Linked DNA regions of Saccharomyces cerevisiae S288C. The protein of the gene in region 2 interacts with the protein of the main gene of each other region in a biochemical or structural test. Each region holds a gene or a part of one and is shown on either strand. Other genes may lie near its edges.

The links.
Region 1: of the proteins of YAP1 (region 2) and TRX2, one has a biochemical effect on the other in vitro, tested with the Saccharomyces cerevisiae proteins (one study listed by BioGRID).
Region 3: the proteins of YAP1 (region 2) and HYR1 form a complex in vitro, tested with the Saccharomyces cerevisiae proteins (2 studies listed by BioGRID).
Region 4: the proteins of YAP1 (region 2) and YBP1 form a complex in vitro, tested with the Saccharomyces cerevisiae proteins (2 studies listed by BioGRID).

What each region holds. Positions count from the first base shown.
Region 1 is NC_001139.9:912,332-915,088, reverse strand, and holds TRX2 (thioredoxin TRX2), read left to right. Parts: upstream 1-1,861; coding exon 1,862-2,176; downstream 2,177-2,757. Other genes in the region: YGR210C (uncharacterized protein), read left to right, coding at 351-1,586; SER2 (phosphoserine phosphatase), read right to left, coding at 2,277-2,757. UniProt on the Saccharomyces cerevisiae protein: Participates as a hydrogen donor in redox reactions through the reversible oxidation of its active center dithiol to a disulfide, accompanied by the transfer of 2 electrons and 2 protons.
Region 2 is NC_001145.3:251,984-256,525, reverse strand, and holds YAP1 (DNA-binding transcription factor YAP1), read right to left. Parts: upstream 2,679-4,542; coding exon 726-2,678; downstream 1-725. Other genes in the region: GIS4 (Gis4p), read left to right, coding at 1-434; MIN4 (Min4p), read left to right, coding at 3,254-3,364; ERG6 (sterol 24-C-methyltransferase), read left to right, coding at 3,536-4,542. UniProt on the Saccharomyces cerevisiae protein: Transcription activator involved in oxidative stress response and redox homeostasis.
Region 3 is NC_001141.2:421,498-424,305, forward strand, and holds HYR1 (peroxiredoxin HYR1), read left to right. Parts: upstream 1-1,630; coding exon 1,631-2,122; downstream 2,123-2,808. Other genes in the region: NRE1 (sepiapterin reductase family protein), read right to left, coding at 1-293; sepiapterin reductase family protein IRC24, read right to left, coding at 577-1,368; GTT1 (bifunctional glutathione transferase/peroxidase), read right to left, coding at 2,312-2,808. UniProt on the Saccharomyces cerevisiae protein: Involved in oxidative stress response and redox homeostasis. Functions as a sensor and transducer of hydroperoxide stress.
Region 4 is NC_001134.8:655,076-659,724, reverse strand, and holds YBP1 (Ybp1p), read left to right. Parts: upstream 1-2,124; coding exon 2,125-4,149; downstream 4,150-4,649. Other genes in the region: PYC2 (pyruvate carboxylase 2), read left to right, coding at 1-1,018; ATG12 (Atg12p), read right to left, coding at 1,333-1,893; HPC2 (Hpc2p), read right to left, coding at 4,408-4,649. UniProt on the Saccharomyces cerevisiae protein: Involved in oxidative stress response and redox homeostasis. Required for hydrogen peroxide-induced oxidation and nuclear localization (activation) of YAP1. Functions probably in concert with HYP1/GPX3, the actual YAP1 modifying enzyme.

The DNA.
Region 1 (2,757 bases), on a different chromosome or scaffold from region 2:
TGAAAAATTTTCGTCAACTATAAACTTTTAGGATATTCTAGCCCTGATGGGGCTAGAATATTCTAGAAAACTCCAGAGGGTTTCGGCACAATTTATTGTAGGGTTAGTAAGGGCTTTTTTATCAAGGTGAAAAATTCACTCGATGCCTTTTTTTTTTTTTCTCGAATAGATAGATATGCAAGAAATGTAATGCTATGCAGTGCAAAACAGATGTGTAAGTGTTCTAGGATGAATTGTAATGAGAGTTGGTTTTATTTTCATTTTGCGTTTTCGTTTTCCGTCTTTTAGCTTTTGTCCAACTAACTTGTAGTATAAGCTGTCTGTAAGAATAAAACGGAAATAGAGCCAGTATGCCCAGGGATCCATTGATTGGTATTGTGGGTAAGCCATCTTCAGGGAAATCCACCACATTAAATTCTTTGACGGACGCAGGTGCGGCGGTAGGAGCATTTCCCTTTACCACGATCGAGCCAAATCAGGCAACCGGCTACTTGCAAGTTGAGTGTGCTTGCTCCAGATTTGGCAAGGAAGATCTTTGTAAACCTAACTACGGGTGGTGTAGCAAGGGTAAGAGGCATATCCCCATCAAACTGTTGGATGTGGCAGGGCTTGTGCCTGGAGCGCATTCCGGCAGAGGGCTTGGAAATAAATTCTTGGATGATTTAAGACACGCAGATGCTCTTATTCATGTGGTGGACGTTAGTGGAACCACAGATGCAGAGGGGAAGAACACAAGAGGATATGATCCATTGAACGATATAGAATGGCTGCAAGACGAAATCAGGCTTTGGGTTGAGGGGAACCTGAAGAAAAGATGGGGGTCTATTGTGCGTAAACATACAGCAACGAAATCTAGCATAGTGGACACACTTCAAGCGCAATTCGGTGGGTACGGTTCACATGCGCCCATGATCCAAAAAGCCCTGGACAGGTTGAAGGGACTACCACCTTTGGAAAAATGGGATGACGAATGGATCACTCGAGTGGTCAAGTCCTTTATGATGGAGAAATTTCCAACTGTGTTGGCACTCAACAAGATTGACCACCCTGACGCCGATAAAAATGTTTCTAAAATCATGCTAAAGTATCCTGACACCAAAGCTGTACTGACCAGTGCAGTGACGGAAGTTTTTTTGAGGAAATTGAAAAAGCAAGGTTTTATATTATACGAGGAGGGCACGGAATTTGTTGACACATTTGAGGACGAGCCAGACAAACTAAAGCCACTGGACGACAAGATCCTTAACAGAATTGAAAATATCAGAGATTTGGTCCTGTATAGATTCGGATCTACGGGTGTTGTTCAGGTTCTGCAAGCAGCAACGGACATCCTTGGTCTAATACCGGTGTACACTGTGAAGAACATCCAGACTTTTACGGGTGGCAACGGAACCAACGTATTTAGAGATTGTTTTTTGGTCAAGCGAGGAACCCCTGTTGGCAAAGTTGCCAGGTATATCATGGGTGGCGAGGTCACCATTGCAAGCATTGAAACCGTTGGCGGCGTGAGAGTCAGTGAAGAAAGTCTTGTTGAGCCCGGTAAGAATGACATACTCGGCTTCAAGATCGCTCCAAGATCAGCATAACTTGAGTGCCAGTGAATATTAAGTAATCATCAAAGTATATGTGTAATTGTTTATACTCTTAGTAAAGGATGCTCCCTACAAGGTGGCTCTTTTCTTACTAAGCGCGTTCAGTTTCCAGCCAGCCGAAAGAGGGATATCAGTATATAAGAAAGCCATTCGGGGGATGAAAAGCTGACAAGAGAATAACGAGGACCAGTTTTTATTTGTTGTCTAGCAAGAATTATACACGCACACATACACGAGAGTCTACGATATCTTTAAATAACACATCAATAATGGTCACTCAATTAAAATCCGCTTCTGAATACGACAGTGCTTTAGCATCTGGCGACAAGTTAGTCGTTGTTGACTTTTTTGCCACATGGTGTGGGCCATGTAAAATGATTGCACCAATGATTGAAAAGTTTGCAGAACAATATTCTGACGCTGCTTTTTACAAGTTGGATGTTGATGAAGTCTCAGATGTTGCTCAAAAAGCTGAAGTTTCTTCCATGCCTACCCTAATCTTCTACAAGGGCGGTAAGGAGGTTACCAGAGTCGTCGGTGCCAACCCAGCTGCTATCAAGCAAGCTATTGCTTCCAACGTATAGTTGCCGGTATATTAACGCTACGTAAAGTACATCATGTTTACCAGTTTAAATAAACAATTTTAAAAAGAAACTCTATTACATCTATCTATCATTATTTTCTTCATTGTCTATTGTATATTTCATCATCGGTGTAACCAAGAATGTATAAAATGTCAGTCATGCTCTTGGTATTCAACTTACAAGGTGCAGCTTTCTGCACCTTTGGCTTGGCGTTCCATGCGATCCCAAACCCGGCGGTAGCCATGGCTGGCAGGTCGTTACCACCGTCACCCACCATACAACTTGCTTCAACTGGAACATTGTAGTCATTACATAGTTGCAGAAGGGTTTCACTCTTGCACTGTCCGTCTACGATAGGACCCAGTGTTTTACCGGTTAATTTTCCATCAGTGTCAACTTCCAACAAGTTTGCCTTACAAAAATCTAAACCTAACTGATCCTTGATAAAACCGGCAAACTGAATAAAACCACCGCTTAAAACAGCGAGCTTGCAATTTTTTTTGTGAAGGAACTTGCATAGTTCTGGCACACCCTTGGTGACCTCTAGCTTTTGTTTTATTTCATCATATAGTGTATCGACT
Region 2 (4,542 bases):
ATAATTCTGTTACAAAAATCGATAAAAGTAATAGTAACGAGTTGGATAACTCTAAAACAGGTGAAAGTACAGTTTTATCAAGTGAACCTCATCCAATGACACAACTGTCGAACTCTAATACGACTTCCTCGAATTTTAGCCATTCTTTGAAGACAAAAAATTCTCACAAACCTAATTCCAAGGGTAACAATGAAAGTAATTCCAAAAATGAGTTGAAAAAGATAAAGAGTTCCATCAATGCTATGAGTGCCGTGGAAAGGTCCAAAAGTTTGCCTTTACCTACATTACTAAAGTCTTTAAGCGGCATAGATAACCCTACTCATGCCACTAACAAGGATAGAAAGCGTTGGAAATTCCAGATGAATAGGTTTAAGAATCATAAAAACAGTGGTTCTGCAGGTACGGATAAATCTCAGCGTTGTGCCATCATGTAAAGAATACTTTACCACTATATATAGATATATATATATACTTGTATTATAATTATAATCATTATTGGTACTATTGCACTTACCAGTTTCTATATTGACATTGAAGGTGATACAGAGAATTCATACATAGTCTAAATATATTTAAAGTATAGGTTGTGTACATAAAAAAATACCGAGGTGATACAATCTACCTACTTTCGGCGAAAAGGCGAAGCAAGGTAAGTTAAAAAAGTTTAATTGTAACATTATAGAAAAAGTTCTTTCGGTTACCCAGTTTTCCATAAAGTTCCCGCTTTAGTTCATATGCTTATTCAAAGCTAATTGAACGTCTTCTGCATTGATGACAACCCCTCTTTCTGAACATTTTGCCTTTGCCATTAGCTCGGAACATAAACCATCGACATCAATATCTGAGTATTTCGGATGTGTTGTTATTCTATCCCAAATTTCCGAACACCTTAGTAAAGAGCCTTCCTTAGATGGAACGACATCATTATCATTATCGTTATCATTGCCATTATTGATTTTGTCAGCATTCTGTAAACTACTGCCATTTTTTTGTGAGATTTCGCTTTCATTTCCTGGTACCGATTGTAGATATTGTTTCGGAAGCTCTGGTTCTTCGTTAATTAACTGGTTCTTGATTAAACTTGACTCATCGTCTGACATATTAGCGGCTTTTTTGTCATCATCGTCATCCTCTAAAAACTCTCCAAATAAATTGTTACCTTCCTTCGATGAATCTCTAAAAAACATGTCGTAGTCAAACTTATTTTGAGATTGAGATTCAGAGAAAGGTTGTAATTGAATATTAGTTGAATTGTCGTCTGGGAAAGCCAGATTTGCGTTGATAAAAGGTATATCCTCTTTGCTGCTTTGCAGTAGGCTGGGATTGGTGTTAGAGGCAGCATTATTGCCGATGCCGGTAGATCCCGGACTAAAAAAATTAGTAACTTGGTTCATATCAAACGGTGACTCGGATATGAATGGGAGTACATCATCGCTATTATTATTGTTCTTTTTGTTCTTATTGCCAGTGCTACCAGTGCTATCAGTGCTACCAGTGCTATTATCATTCACGACGTAATGATTGGCACTCATATCGAAACCAAGTCGGCCAAAACCGGAGAAGGAATTTTCATATTTAGTAGCATCAGTAGCAATGACATTAGCAGGAGTATTATCTGTAATATTAGAATGTGATTCCCAAGTATTTGTTAAAGCAGGAGAATTTGAACTTAGTATAGAAGATGACGCGAAAACTTCTTTATCAAGAGCCGAGATGGGTTTCTTGGGAATGGGACATTGCCTTGTTCCACATACCTGGTTCATTTTCGAACAAAACTCCGAAACTTGTTCATCAAATTGGTTTTCAAAATTAAAGTCATTAGAAAACATATTACTGTCTAAATTCTTAGTTTTACTATTGCTGCCATCATCACCTGACACAAACCTGTTAGTATATATTACATTATCTAACCAATCCATCGAAGTGGAGGAGTTTGGTGTGTTATTAAGAACATCGTTACTATTTGAAAGGGAATCCAAAGTAGCGCTGGAGGAATCTGTAGCGTCACTTAATTTCTTTTGTGTCTGATTTATAGGCATAGGAGCCGAATGACTTGGATCATTTGGTGAAGGTAATTGTTTCCCCACATTTTTACTGTTGTCGTTGTCGTTGTCGTTATCAAGCGGATATTGAAACGTGAAATTCATCTTTTGTTTAACATTTTCTTGTATGTCATCATTGGGTGTGTCAATTGGCTCGCTATTGCTGTGGTTAACGTTATTTTTTGAAAAATGCAAATTAGGATCTCGCCTTGCTAAATATTCCAGCACTTTTGAGTCATTTCTTGTCTCTGGTCTATATTTTTTTAACTCATTCACCAGAGTGATTAACTGGTCCCTCAAAAAAGTAGCTTCCACTTCATTTTGCTGCTGAATACTCTCTAAACTTTGTACCTTCTTCTCCAATTCCTTCATCTTCCTCTCCTTACGTTCCCTAAAAGCTCTTTGAGCGGCCCGATTTTGGGCAGTCCTCTTCTGCTTAGTTTCAGGATCCAAATCTTGCTTTTTGCTAGTTTTGCTACCCTTCTTCTTCGGTTGCTCGCTATCCTCGCCATCACGTGTACCAGTACGTCTATGTTCATTTTCTATTTCATCGTGACGAGATTTTGAACCCTCAAACTCCGCTAATGAACCCGGAGAAACGACATCCAGCGACCTCTTGGCGGTAGACACACTCATGGTTTAAGAAACAACTTTTCCTTCTTTAAACGTTTTGGGTGGCAAAAAACTTCCCTTAAACAAACTAAAAATGGCTCGTGTTCATGCACAAGTCAACCAGGGGCTCAGGAAAAAAAGCTAAACACCAATCCTATATATAACGTAAAGGTACTGTGCTTAATCGGTAAACGGAAGACTATTAAGCAAATGTATCTCTTAAGACCTTACGCATCCATCAGTTGCCACCCTCCTACTCTTCATCGGAGGGTTTCCGGTTCCCATGACAAAGACGGCGCTTTGGCGGGGCCCAAATTGTTACCCGCACCCAGAAAAAGAAAAGAGTAACCTAGGTCAAATCAACCAAACAGCTAGGGCTGGTTACTATTTTTGAAAAGATGCAACAGGGTAAGATCAGCAAAATTTAGGGCCGAACAAAGCCCCGATCTTCGTATATGGTACCTCGTTCCCGTACTTATTTTCAATTTTTGGCGTCGTTTACTGCCGTTTCCGATAAATACAAAAAAGTTTTCGAGAAGCGAGAGTAAGTGAGGAGCAGACAATGTATTATTCACTGTAAACTGCTCCACTTCGTCTCAATGGTACACTTCATTTTTATCGCCTTACGAAGCATGCGTTTTATGCGAAGATTGGTGAGAAACCTCCAATACTTGCTGTTGCCGATAACTTCTTCATTGCTTTTTATATAGTTCGGGTGTTTTCTCCTATCCTCTGCTGCTCTCTTTTTCTTTCCATTCGTCTTTGTAATTTATAAGCTGTTAATTTTCATTCAAGTTTCCCTTATCTGTTTTACTTTCGATTTAAGTTTTACATAATTTAAAAAAACAAGAATAAAATAATAATATAGTAGGCAGCATAAGATGAGTGAAACAGAATTGAGAAAAAGACAGGCCCAATTCACTAGGGAGTTACATGGTGATGATATTGGTAAAAAGACAGGTTTGAGTGCATTGATGTCGAAGAACAACTCTGCCCAAAAGGAAGCCGTTCAGAAGTACTTGAGAAATTGGGATGGTAGAACCGATAAAGATGCCGAAGAACGTCGTCTTGAGGATTATAATGAAGCCACACATTCCTACTATAACGTCGTTACAGATTTCTATGAATATGGTTGGGGTTCCTCTTTCCATTTCAGCAGATTTTATAAAGGTGAGAGTTTCGCTGCCTCGATAGCAAGACATGAACATTATTTAGCTTACAAGGCTGGTATTCAAAGAGGCGATTTAGTTCTCGACGTTGGTTGTGGTGTTGGGGGCCCAGCAAGAGAGATTGCAAGATTTACCGGTTGTAACGTCATCGGTCTAAACAATAACGATTACCAAATTGCCAAGGCAAAATATTACGCTAAAAAATACAATTTGAGTGACCAAATGGACTTTGTAAAGGGTGATTTCATGAAAATGGATTTCGAAGAAAACACTTTCGACAAAGTTTATGCAATTGAGGCCACATGTCACGCTCCAAAATTAGAAGGTGTATACAGCGAAATCTACAAGGTTTTGAAACCGGGTGGTACCTTTGCTGTTTACGAATGGGTAATGACTGATAAATATGACGAAAACAATCCTGAACATAGAAAGATCGCTTATGAAATTGAACTAGGTGATGGTATCCCAAAGATGTTCCATGTCGACGTGGCTAGGAAAGCATTGAAGAACTGTGGTTTCGAAGTCCTCGTTAGCGAAGACCTGGCGGACAATGATGATGAAATCCCTTGGTATTACCCATTAACTGGTGAGTGGAAGTACGTTCAAAACTTAGCTAATTTGGCCACATTTTTCAGAACTTCTTACTTGGGTAGACAATTTACTACAGCAATGGTTACTGTAATGGAAAAATTAGGTCTAGCCCCAGAAGGTTCCAAGGA
Region 3 (2,808 bases), on a different chromosome or scaffold from region 2:
ATCTCGTTGACATTTTGCACGGGCTCTAGGACACCAGCGTTGGCAACCAAGGAGTCGATCTTGCCGTGGCCCTTAACAGCAGCGTTAACCAACTGCTTCAACACGGAATCCTCGGTAATATCACCGACAACGTAAAAAAACCTGTCGCCATACTTCTCTTTCAACTTCTTCAAGGGTGCCTCAGACCTGGCTACACCGTAAACAACCGTGTCCTTGTCCAAACTGAAAAGAACATCCACGATGGACTTACCGATACCTCTGGAAACACCTGTAACTAAAATAACTTTACCCATGTTTTTTTAACCTGTTACACGCTGTAGTTAGACCCTTTTTTTTAGGTACAATATTCTTCCATTGCACTTGATCTTTTTCGTTTACGTATATATATGCAAAAGTTAATGTTCATACTGTCTTCTCTTCATTTCTTTGAAAACACCGCGGAATTCCTTCGGTGATACATTCAATCCGGTTCTTGGCACAGAAATGGCCGCACAAAACTGTCGCTCATCGCAAACCCAATAAAAGTTTAGTAGCTAAAAACTATAACTATACCCTTTTACATAATATAGTTTAGTACTAGCCCTGCACCGGCCCCAGTCGCTCATCGTTGTAGCGGAGATATTGACCGTTCAAAGAGTCGGGAATACCTTTCAGGACGAGTTGCGCTAGTACCGCCGCAGGCACCTTTGGGTCCAGCAGTGACGAAGTCTTGTACAATTGAGTAAACCTCTCGAGAGCCTTGGGTGTCATGCCCTGAGGACCCAATGTTTCCCTAATATCTTTCTGCATCTGCGTGTCAACGACGCCCGGTGCAATACACACGGCACGCACTTTATCACTGGGCTCTTCACTGGCAATGTCCATGGCAAAGTGGTTTAATGCGGCTTTCGAGCAGCCGTACGCCGACCATCCGTTATATGGTTTCACACTGGCTCCAGAGCTGACGAAGACAATGTTGCCTACAAATGGCGAGCTCTTCAAGAGGGGTAAACACAGTGCCACCAAAGAGACAATGCTGAAAAAGTTCACATCGAACAGCCGTTCCCACTGCTTGATGTCGTGTTCGGAGTTGGACTGGGAGATGGACTTCACCGGTTCTAGCATCCCCGCATTTGCGACAATACCGTCCAGTTTTCCATGCTTTTGCCGGATTTCCTCCACCAACGCTTCCATTCGAGACCTGTCCGTGATGTCGAGGACACGATAGACAAATTTGTCTGCACCGTATTCTCTTTGCAAAGACTGCAGACCAGCTTCCGTTCTTGCTACGCCGTAGACGATGCATTCATCGTCCTCTTCGATAACAGTTTTCACCAATTGCAGGCCAATCCCACGGGAGGCACCTGTAATCAAAATAACCTTGCCCATATCCCTTCTTTGACAGATTATAAGTTGTTTCTCTTGTTGCTGTTCGCGACAGCCCTTATTTCCTGTATTCCTTCTTCTTTTTCTGCATTATCGTTTTTAGCCACTTTACGAAAAAGGTCAAAAAGTGAAAAAAAGAGGGAAAAAACCATGAGGAACAGTATGCTCCCTTAATATCGGAAAAGCAATAGTAATAAAAACAGCATCAGAGCTTTCCACGTCTCTCTCTTCCAAGCTGTCATCTCGTAAAGTATTCAAGTTTATCATGTCAGAATTCTATAAGCTAGCACCTGTTGACAAGAAAGGCCAACCATTCCCCTTCGACCAATTAAAGGGAAAAGTGGTGCTTATCGTTAATGTTGCCTCCAAATGTGGATTCACTCCTCAATACAAAGAACTAGAGGCCTTGTACAAACGTTATAAGGACGAAGGATTTACCATCATCGGGTTCCCATGCAACCAGTTTGGCCACCAAGAACCTGGCTCTGATGAAGAAATTGCCCAGTTCTGCCAACTGAACTATGGCGTGACTTTCCCCATTATGAAAAAAATTGACGTTAATGGTGGCAATGAGGACCCTGTTTACAAGTTTTTGAAGAGCCAAAAATCCGGTATGTTGGGCTTGAGAGGTATCAAATGGAATTTTGAAAAATTCTTAGTCGATAAAAAGGGTAAAGTGTACGAAAGATACTCTTCACTAACCAAACCTTCTTCGTTGTCCGAAACCATCGAAGAACTTTTGAAAGAGGTGGAATAGGCAGGTCTTCTTCTTTTGAAGTTAGGTAAAGCTTAGTTTTCTTTTATATTTCCTGATAATACATACTCGCTAGTCAAACCTGTCAATTATTATGTGTCGCAACAGACTATATACGTATACATACATATGTATTGAAGTGTGTGAACGAATTACGCGGCTGCTAGTGCCGTACGAACGCAACAAAACGGTTTAGAAATTGCTACCTAAAGCACGCGCCTTTTCCTTAGAAGCAGCATACGACTCCTCTGAGGTTATGGTCTTTAACCATTTGGAAATGGCAGGATAATCCTCTGGTGCGGCAAACTTTCTTTCAAACGCCATCTGCAAAGGGAAAGACATCAAGATATCGGCACCGCTCAACTTCCCATCAACCAGGTAGCCGTTATTTTTGGAAATTTCACCCTCCACAAAGTCGAACTGGTTCTTAACTTCACCACTAGAGTATGCCTGACTGATCTTGTCTGCCACTTTTCTTGCCAAGTACGAAATAGGGAAGGGCATACCAGAATCCTTCACCTTTGAAAGAATGAACTCAATCATTAAAGGTGGTTGCAAGGAACCTTCTACATAAAACAGATAATAGTTAATCTGGTCTGCAATATCAGCATCTTCGCTCATTAAAACGTGTGAATGATCAAAATGCTGCAAGACATATTGGAAGATGAAACCGGACTCGGCAAGTATCT
Region 4 (4,649 bases), on a different chromosome or scaffold from region 2:
GGCCGACTTGAAGGGACCAGATCCAGAAGTTTACCAACATGAAATCCCAGGTGGTCAATTGACTAACTTGTTATTCCAAGCTCAACAACTGGGTCTTGGTGAACAATGGGCTGAAACTAAAAGAGCTTACAGAGAAGCCAATTACCTACTGGGAGATATTGTTAAAGTTACCCCAACTTCTAAGGTTGTCGGTGATTTAGCTCAATTCATGGTTTCTAACAAACTGACTTCCGACGATATTAGACGTTTAGCTAATTCTTTGGACTTTCCTGACTCTGTTATGGACTTTTTTGAAGGTTTAATTGGTCAACCATACGGTGGGTTCCCAGAACCATTAAGATCTGATGTATTGAGAAACAAGAGAAGAAAGTTGACGTGCCGTCCAGGTTTAGAATTAGAACCATTTGATCTCGAAAAAATTAGAGAAGACTTGCAGAACAGATTCGGTGATATTGATGAATGCGATGTTGCTTCTTACAATATGTATCCAAGGGTCTATGAAGATTTCCAAAAGATCAGAGAAACATACGGTGATTTATCAGTTCTACCAACCAAAAATTTCCTAGCACCAGCAGAACCTGATGAAGAAATCGAAGTCACCATCGAACAAGGTAAGACTTTGATTATCAAATTGCAAGCTGTTGGTGACTTAAATAAGAAAACTGGGCAAAGAGAAGTGTATTTTGAATTGAACGGTGAATTAAGAAAGATCAGAGTTGCAGACAAGTCACAAAACATACAATCTGTTGCTAAACCAAAGGCTGATGTCCACGATACTCACCAAATCGGTGCACCAATGGCTGGTGTTATCATAGAAGTTAAAGTACATAAAGGGTCTTTGGTGAAAAAGGGCGAATCGATTGCTGTTTTGAGTGCCATGAAAATGGAAATGGTTGTCTCTTCACCAGCAGATGGTCAAGTTAAAGACGTTTTCATTAAGGATGGTGAAAGTGTTGACGCATCAGATTTGTTGGTTGTCCTAGAAGAAGAAACCCTACCCCCATCCCAAAAAAAGTAATTTTTACTCGTTAATTATATTTTATGACATCTGAAAATACTAGCTGTACTATATATGGCGTATATTTTATCTAGTTATGTTCCCATGTATATTTAAATGCCAAATAGAAAGTAATCAAACACTTTCGATGAAATACGTGCTAACTGTGTTTCTTCCTTAATGCTTTCACTTACCATGTCTCCATTCTCCATTTTCTTCTTGAGTGAAAATGTGAGTTTATAACGCTCAAGTACGTTAACTACTCTATTTAATATCGTACGGGATTTTTGATCGACTGTAGGTTTTCTTCTTAGACCATTCCAGCGCCCGGGTATTTAACCAAACGCTACGGATGCACAATAACTTACAATAAGCTCATCATTAGTCTTGAATTGCATCCAAAGTTCACCAATATTTTGCTGCGGACTTGGCGCAAACGAATTATTTATATAACAATAAACATGGTCCATTTTCAGCCGTCTCTTAAGAAATAAAATAACCATTGCAAAAGACTGTGACATTGATATTTTACAAACAGATGGTTTTAACTGCCCAATAGAACCAATGGGCTGAAATTTTATCTGTATCTTTTGTATGTTTTTTTCGTCTTTATGGCTTTTTTGTTTGCTTGTTTGTGCATTCGTTTTGATTGTCTCTTCCTGTTCATAAGTGCCACTAGAGGAATCTTCAACTTGCTGGTCGACAGAAATGTCACTCGCCAAACCAAGCTGAGACAATCTCCTGCTAAAAAGTTCCAATCTATTTTGAACGGTATGAGGAGATGATCTTAATTCTTGATTATTTCTGGATCTTTCCATTGCCGTTCCATTATTTGTGGATATGATGGAGCTTTCGTCACTTTCTGTTTCATTTTCGCTCTCTAGGATCCTACTCATACTGTCATTGGTTCACTCTACTGTAGAATATACAGTTAGGGATGTACGTTTATTTCTTCAGCTCAAGTAGCTTTCTGTCAAACACTAAGCGGGCATCCTTCATAAGTACGATTCTTTAAATTTGACAATGTAAAGGAAAAAAATAAAGACTAATTGCCGGTGAACATTATTAACAAATAAACACTGAAAAAGAAAATCACCCTAGACATTCAATACGATACTCAGACACTAATGGAACCAATTGATGACATACTTTTTGAGGTTACTGATGCGTTCAAAACTCAGAAGGAGGATCTTCTTGAGTTGGTAACATTGATTGATATATATGGCGAGCAAGTTAACCAAGAGGGGAGCTATGAAGAAAAGACGAGATTCATTGAAACTTTGAATACATTGTTAGAGGATAATCCGAGTACTACTGGTGAAATCGGTTGGGATCTGCCTAAGGGATTATTGAAGTTCTTGTCAAAGGATAATGTCGATGTAAATGGAAGACTAGGTACGAATATGATTGTCCAAGGTGTAATGAAGTGTTTCTATGCCATCTCAATCCAAGGCGAGCCCAAAAAATGTTTAATTACTGGGTTGGAGTTGCTTTCATCCCTTTGTTCAAAAGATTTTTCCAAGAGTGATCAACAGAATAAGGAAGACTTTGTTGATAAAAAGGCCAATACGTTACCTCCTGAAGGAGTAATCGAAAATTCCTCTAATCGAAAAGATTTTCCATCCTACGGTGAAAGCAAGAGTTCAAATGAATTTTTCTTGAAGTTGAAATCCTACATTTTATTTGAATTCATAGGGGCGAGTCTGAAAAGGATTTCTACTCTGTTTCCTTCGAAATATCTGGGAGCTGCTGTGTCAACAATTGAGAAATTTGTGTATAGTCATGCGGACACTTTTGAAGATGCCCTTTTCCTTCTTCGTAGGGTGTACACATTCTGCAGGAACTATATTCCCCCTGATCCACCAAAAGATATACAATTGAACGAAGATTTTACTCGAGAGATGTTTGATAAAGTTGTGGAGGAAGAAAGTGAATTACAGGTTAGACTATTGCGTAGGCTTTGTACTTTTGGTATTTCGACACCCATAAAAACTGTCACCACCAATGCCGACGTGAAATACTATTGTGCACTAAATCAACAGAAGTTTGAATTATCTGCATATTACACCGAATATCTTGAGCTATTTTGCAGGTATTACCAAATGGCGTTCTCGCTTGATGTTGATATAGAGGGAGAATTTCAGAATGTGATAAAAGAATGTAGGATTATTTATAAGTCTGTACCCCAGGAGATTTCCGCTGTTAATGATGAAGCAAAGTTGGTTTTGGAAAGAATGGTATATAAATTGGCTTATACATTCGAAGTACAAAAGGCCGCTAAAGAAAAAAATGTTGGTTTGGACTATAATGGTGTAATATTATTTTCTGGTATCCACTATTTGGAAACCAATCAACATTTAGTAAAGGAAATGAATATAACGGATGCCATTTATCTCTACTTGAGATTTACAACTCCATCATTATATTCTAAAGTTTACTATAATGTAGCAGTTGAATCAGTTAGTCGCTACTGGCTATGGTATGCTATTACAACCGAGCCCTTGGAGGATGTAAAAAAAGAATTGAAGAATCTTTCAGTGTTTGTTACAAAAACATTATTGCATGTTCTACTTCAAAAGAACTGTATTCAGGTCAATCAGCAGTTAAGAATGATAACTTTCACTCTTCTCACCAGATTACTATGTTTAATACCTGAAAAAGTTGCATTTGAGTTTATCTTAGATGTGCTTAAGACATCTCCCCTTCCATTGGCTAAGACGTCCGTATTATGTGTTTTTAAAGACCTTTCAAGGCGACGCATCTCCACCAAGGATAACGATTCTGAGACGGATTTGATTGTCGAAAAATTATCCAAACTGAAGGTCAATGATAGTAACAAAGCTCAGCAAAGTAACATCAGACATTATATCCAACTAGATTCTTCCAAAATGAAAGCTGTTCATGACTGTTGTCTGCAGACTATCCAAGATTCATTTACGGCAGATGCCAAGAAGAGTGATATATTATTACTGCTAACTTACTTGAATATTTTCATTGTGCTAAAAAAAACATGGGATGAAGATCTACTGAAGATTGTTTGTTCGAAGATTGATTCTAATTTGAAGTCAGTCGAACCTGATAAACTTCCGAAGTATAAGGAAATTGTGGATAAAAACGAATCTCTAAATGACTATTTTACTGGTATAAAATGAAGTTCTTATCTATTTCATTTCCACCAAGATATTGAACATGCCATACTCGTTTCTGGTTTTATAGCCAAGTTTATAGATTCTCTAAGGTGAAATTATCTATTTTTTCTTTCACCATATTATCGGACATAGATACATGGATAGAAAAGCATTCGCTCGGAAAAATCTTCATATAAACTGACTATATACTTTCAGATATAGGCACACTTTATTTCATTTTTTATGTCGTTCAGGGATTTTGGAAAATCTCTGACACAATGCTTATTTATTTTTAACACCACCTCTTTTCATGGTACCATTTGCACGCTCCAAACTTGCATAGTGACCTTTTTCGATTAATGGACCAAAGTAAACAAAAAAACCGTCCTTGGTGGCAGCACGCTGTTCCTCCCACAATAACTCCGAATCATCAATGAACGGATCTTCAACGTCATATTTACCAATCAAATTTTTACCTTTCATAGGATGCGACTTCTTCTTCGGAGAGATGGTGGTAGTTACAG